2 linked regions of the Xenopus tropicalis genome follow. The protein of the gene in region 1 purifies or fractionates together with the protein of each later gene. This does not show direct contact. Links are inferred from orthologs where the notes say so. Each region holds a gene or a part of one and is shown in the gene's direction. Other genes may lie near its edges.

Evidence for each region.
Region 2: the proteins of jup (region 1) and dsg2 purify together in Homo sapiens (affinity purification with western blotting; 3 studies listed by BioGRID and IntAct, with this or other methods). This does not show direct contact. The link is inferred for Xenopus tropicalis from reciprocal best matches to the Homo sapiens genes JUP and DSG2.

Annotation. Positions count from the first base shown.
Region 1 is NC_030686.2:7,419,627-7,422,179, forward strand, and holds part of jup (junction plakoglobin), read left to right. Parts: intron 1-863; coding exon 864-903; intron 904-1,901; coding exon 1,902-2,044; 3' UTR 2,045-2,059; intron 2,060-2,553. UniProt on the Homo sapiens protein: Common junctional plaque protein. The membrane-associated plaques are architectural elements in an important strategic position to influence the arrangement and function of both the cytoskeleton and the cells within the tissue.
Region 2 is NC_030682.2:111,632,047-111,635,887, forward strand, and holds part of dsg2 (desmoglein-2), read left to right. Parts: intron 1-546; coding exon 547-684; intron 685-3,460; coding exon 3,461-3,616; intron 3,617-3,841.

The DNA of each region.
Region 1 (2,553 bases):
CCTTAAAGGGAATCTAAACCTAAAAAATGAATTGATGTTACTTCATTACTTCATTTTCTGGCTTTAGTGGTTTCTATGATATTTGCGGTTTTAGACCTATAGCTTGTAGCTGTATGAGGCTTAAGGGGGTTATTCACCTTTGTGTTAACTTTTTTAGTATGACCGAGTGCAATATTCTCAGACACTTTGCATTTGGTCTTCATTTTTTATTTGTAGGTTTTTTTCAGCAACTCGCTAGTTTTGAGTTTCAGCAGCTAGGGTCAAAATTACCTTAGCAACCAGGGATTGATTTGAATGAGAGGCTGGTATATGAGTAGGTGAGGACCTGAATAGTAAAATAAGTTACTTTTTATAACAACAAAACTGGAGCCTCACAGCGCAATAGTTTTCTGGCTGCCGGGGTCAGTGACCCCCATTTGAAAGCTGCAAGGAGTTAGAAGGCAAATAATTAAAAAACGATTAAATAATCAATTAATAAATAACCAATTGAAAAGTTGCTTAGAATTATCCATTTTGTAACATACTGAAAGCTTAACGTTAATTGAGAATTGGCAGCCCTAGAGTTAACCGACCGGTGCATAGAAAGTTCAGAGAGAGCTGCTGAAAGCCTGGAAAATGTATGTAAACTGCTGAAGTGCGCATTTACATCCCCTTTATGCACACTGCATTTAACCCTTAGAGTTTGGCAGGGTTCAATAACGCAGAGAATGAAAGATTCTATACATCTGATCATTATTCCCAATGATAATTTGCCACCCACTTGCTGTGGGATCATCTCTTTCTTTGGCTTTTCATCAGCAGAATTGTGACTTCTTACCAATTTATTACTCACATTACATGCAAAATTGTGTTTTCATTTTCAGGCGCAGAGCATGATTCCTCTTAATGATCCTTATCCAGATGGTAAGTGAACTGAACATTGTTGTAGAACGGCAAAATACCATTTATGTTGTAAAATGCACATGCAGTTACTTACAATGGCATTTTACATTAAATTCATTGTGGGCAGAGCTGGATTAATACTAAATAGGGGACTAGGGGCGGTAATGCATTGGGGGCCCCCAGATCATCTTATCACAACTTTCCACAACGTGATTGGCAAAAAAATGTCTGTATGTGCATGAACTGCTTTCTGATTGGACGGGATCCAGGAGCGTTAACTTTGAACCTCCTGTCCAATTGGTAAGCAGTCCTACACAAAATGTGTAGGGCTTTTGGGCACCCCAGATATACTGGGTCAGATGTGTTTGAGCCCCTGAGTGAGGAAACAAAGCTTTAAGAAGAATAACACTATCTCTGTTAAAGGAGAACTAAAGCCTAACTAAAGCAGTAGGGCAGAAATGTTGTATATTCCCTTTAGCAGGGAAGATCTGTGCCCCCAAAGATGCCCCAGTAGCCCCCCCATATTCTTTTCTGCTGATTCCCAGCACATATTCTGTGCTGCTGTCACTTACCTGAGCTTAGGGACTCACCCACAATATACTGTATATACAGAATATAAATGTCACTATACGAGGCTGATTAGTAATTAATACTGATAATGAATTCATTGAAGACCAGAAACCCGTGCAATTAGCAATATAATTTTATAGTCAGCCCTGTACCATCAGTTTATATGACAGACCAGCCTTATTTTCTGCTAGAACTCACTGAGCATATGCACTATACTGGAGAGTTCTAACAGAATCCAAGATGGGGAGTTCCTGTGACCTATATCATTGCTACTATAGAGATGCTGAAACATTAGGCTAGTGCAGTCAGTTAATTCTATAAAATATGGCTTTTTTAGACATATTCATCAATGGGGTTTATCTCTTTTAAAGCTCTGGGCCAAGGTAGCATTAATGGATCACTGAAAGTACATATATATTTGAATCTAATGGTGTTCTTTACCTTTGCAGAAATGGAAAATTATCGAGCTATGTACCCTGAAGATATTCCATTAGAACCAATGGGAGGAGATATGGATGTGGAGTATGCAATGGATGGCTACAGTGACCACCCAGTCAGGGGGGGCTACTCTGATAACCACATGATGGCATAAATCCTCTTGCACAAGGTACTGCTTGGCACTCTGCTGCTATATTGCAGGCAAGCTCTTTTGAATGTATAGGCAGGTCATTTGTCTTCATTGCCACTAGTGATAGCAAGAGCTTGTGTGTTCAATTGATCCAGTGACATAGTGCTGCTTACCTGTGCCTCCTTCTTTAGCCCTGTGCTTTCTCATCCAGCGTAGAGCAGGGGTGGGAGTCACAGAGGATTAATCTAGAGAAAAAGACCAGAGTTCACTGCTGTGTCGCCATTTATATTTAATAGTACATTTAGGCCTTTGAAGCACTGTTATTTTAGCAGAATACTTTCTCTACTTCGTTCCCACTGCTCCACCTAGTGGCAGAACGCAGAATCTACAGTAAAGCTAAATAGTGTAACAAAAACATCAACAAGGGGATACAATAAAAATAAATTATATCTAATTAATTATGCAATGAAATCACTTTTCTGACCCTTCTCAATGCAAACTTTAATCCAAATTAGCAGGCTGATAAACCTGTA
Region 2 (3,841 bases), on another chromosome or scaffold:
GTTTTGCGCTATACATATTATATAACTCCTTTCTTGCAATTATATGTTGTTTAATGCTGGATGTTGTAGTCCAGGCACATCTAGGGAATCAAGGTTAAGAAAGACATGATGCGCATCACTGCCTCCCCTGTTATTGTGTTCTGCAGCACATTTTTAGCAAAGTTATCAAAATACTAAGTCAACCGAAGATGCAGCGACACAGCACTTGTTTATGCACATTTGCAAAAATAATTTAGAAATAGTTATTTTTAAACCCACTAAACTGACACACTTTTGACAAACCTCCAATGTAAACTTAACACTGGCATCTACTTTCTGTTGTTTAATGCAAAGCTTCAAAGGTTTTACTATGCTGTTGGGAAACTATCCAATAACCCCTTGTTAGCAGGTTGAGTTACAATAGTCTGCCAGTAGGCCACTTGAACAGGCTGGGAGCCATTAAAAGCTCAAAGAGGGCCTTTATTTTGATTGCCCTGCTCTAGTGTATACGGAATTCTCTATATAGATGCTTTTACATTACGCCTTGGTTTTTTTAATTTCTAACAGGTAATAGAAAGAAGCAGAAAAGGAGATGACAAAAAAGCTGTTTCTACAAAAGTAATAAGATACAAGCGAGAATGGATTATACCACCTGTGACAATCACAGAGGAACAGGATAATTCTTGGAGGAACCCAATAGCAAAAGTAAGTGATCCTGGAAATGAGTTGTTGCATGAAATTGTAGTAAAGTCTCTCTGAATAAATTTACACACTTAATCTAATTCTCAACAGCCAATCATTTCCTAACTAGATTTTTAAGGGCTATGAACCATCTAGCTATTCTGGGCTTTGTTGACCATGCAATGGATAGCTCCTTTGGTGGGGGAAATAACATTTGAAATCACTCCCCCAATCTTCCCCTTTATTTAAAGGACAGTTGCAGGTGTACTCATGTGTCAGGCGACTTTAAATAAATGTGGAATGTGGTTTTGTTCACCCACAGAGCTTTTACTTGTCTGGCCAACAAAACACCCAGAATTACTAGGTGTGCCAGTGCCCTTCAGGTGCACTTTAAGAGATTGTACAACCTTTGACCATAACCCCCCTCCCCCCTTCCTTTGCTCTTTGTTGCACACAACAACATGCATTTTTAAAGTAATACAGTAATGGGAAATCATGTTTTTTTTTTTGGTTTTTTTTTAAATGCATCAGTTAAAGGAAAGTAACACTAAAAAATTTTAAGTAAAAAAATCTATTCAACCCTGCCCCAATAATTGCCCTATCCTGCACACCATTTATTATTTTGAATGCTTTATTAGAAAATACCTGCTAAAATTTGGCTTCCGGTCATTTGAAATAGGGCGATACGGCGATGCAGGGAAGAATCCACTAAACGACGATCGATTGATCGATTCTAGCGCGACTCCTTCCTATACAGAAGGCTAGAATCAAACAATTTTCCTTTAATAGAGCTTCTCCAGCAGAATCCTGCATTGAAATCTGAAACAGATTTTCTTATGTTTCATTCGGAAATTTCACATGTGGAAATTTCACAGGGTGCCACAGCCATGTGACCTGTGCTCTGATAAACTTCAGTCACACTTTACTGCGCTGCAAATTGGAGTGATATCACCCCCCTCCCAGTAGCCGATCAGCACAACAATGGGAAAGTAGCAAGATAGCAGCTCCAGAATAGCACTCAATAGTAAGAAATCCAAGTCCGGCTTGGGAACCTTCAGTTACATGGGGGTAGGAGAAACCGTAGGTTACCTGTAAGCAGTTCTAATGTGTAGTTCTGGCCCTTTTTGAAAGCTCAGACTCAGGCACAATGCACTTAGATTGCTGCCTACACACCAATATTACAAATGTAAAAAATACATTTGTTTGTTCAAGAATAAAATTTTAAATGGTACAGTGAATTATTTGCTATGTAAACAGTGTAATTTAAAAATATAAAAAGTATACCATAAAACCATGACAGTATCCCTTTAATCAATAAATGCAGTATGGGGATTGAATGAAATGCTGGAAAAACAAGGCAGGAGGGGGCGGGACTTAGTACCTACTTTGCTTATAGACTATGACAACAATGTTTCAGCACACATAATTTGCTTGAATTAGACCTTAAAGGGTGCATGCAGTAGGATTTGTTCGCCTTTGCATAACTTCCACTTCAACATTTACAAGGATTGCAGCACTCCCATTCTGAATCTGTGCCATATGTGAAATAAAGGGGATTTTACTTCTATGGAATGGAAGTTCTGCAATCCTTGTACAGGTACATTTTCCAGAATGCTTGGGGTAAAGGGTATTCCGGATTAGGGATCTTTCCGTAATTTCGTAATAAAAAAAAAATCAATAAATTAATTAAACCCAATAGGATTGTTTTGCGTCCAATAGGAATTAATTATATCTAAGTTGGGATCAAGTACAAGGTACTGATTTATTATTACAGAGAAAAAGGAAATCCGTTTTTAAATTCTGAATAATTTGATTAAAATGGAGTCTATGGGATTTCTGTAATTCGGAGCTTTCTGGGTAACTGGTTTCCGGATAACTGATCCCATACCTGTAAATGTTTGTTTATACACTGAAAGCAGAAAAAAAATGTTCATTTCCATGTTTTACAGAAAGTCAAGGAAACATAGGAAAAGCCTTCATACCTCTGCTACAAAATCAGGTCTTAATAGTCACCTCTGCTTGGTGACTATGGTTTTAGAGAACTGATTGATTGTAAATTCATTGGCTGGCCAAACTGAATGTAGACTAAAACATAGAAATTGTCGTTTTGTGATGAATAAATCCACAGCAGAGAGCTATGCACTTTTATGTTGAGATACTGCTGGCACTTTCATCCTGTGGTGAACACAGTTTCAGCAATGTATGCATCACACTGGGGGCAACAATGTTATTTGTACAGGTCTTGCATAACATTTTATACAGCTTGCAGTCTTAAAAAGAAGGTACAGGTATTGGACTCCTTATCCGGAAACCCATTATCCAGAAATTTCAGAATTACGGACAGGCCATCTCCCATAGGCTTCTCTGTAATAAAAAAACAGTAACTTGTACTTGGTCCCAACTAAGATGTAATGAATCCTTATTGGAAGCAAAACAATTCTTTTGGGTTTAATTACTGTTTAAATATTTTTTTTGTAGACTTAAGGTATGAGATCTGAATTATGGAAAGACCCCTTATCCGGAAACCCCAGGTACTGAGAATTCTGGATAATGGGTCCCATACCTTTAATAAATTATGATGGTTTCCATTTATTCCGTGGAGTCCTGTATGTAGGGTATGTTACTGCTGCACATATTGTGATAATTTATAGTACATTTATACAAAACTTCTGGTTATGAATCTCTTAATACATTTACTGCTAACTTTTATACTAGTTTTTTTACACTGTACTTATTTTAAATGGAAAATCTGGAGAACAAGATGTGTGATACTCCTAATTACTTCTAATTTCACTAACAGATTCAATCAGATTATCAGATCGACAGGAGAATTACATATCGCATTGAGGGTATGGGGGTGACAAAACCTCCCCTTGGCATTTTCATTATCAATGAAAGGACTGGGGAACTGAACGTAACAGGAATTGTGGACAGAGAAGAAACGCCAATGTTCTATGTAAGTTTAATTTGATCAATCATATTGTAATTAGGGGCATAAATATCCTTTGAAGGACATATGAACCACATGAATATATATGAAAAGCAGTGAAGGCGCCATGAAACAGAAAGGAAAAGGACTAAATGTCTACTAAACACTTTCTCATTGAATCTTTTACTTAATAAATGTGTCAGTTACATATTATTTCTACTTGGCACATAGTTCTTGCATTACTGTAGTTCA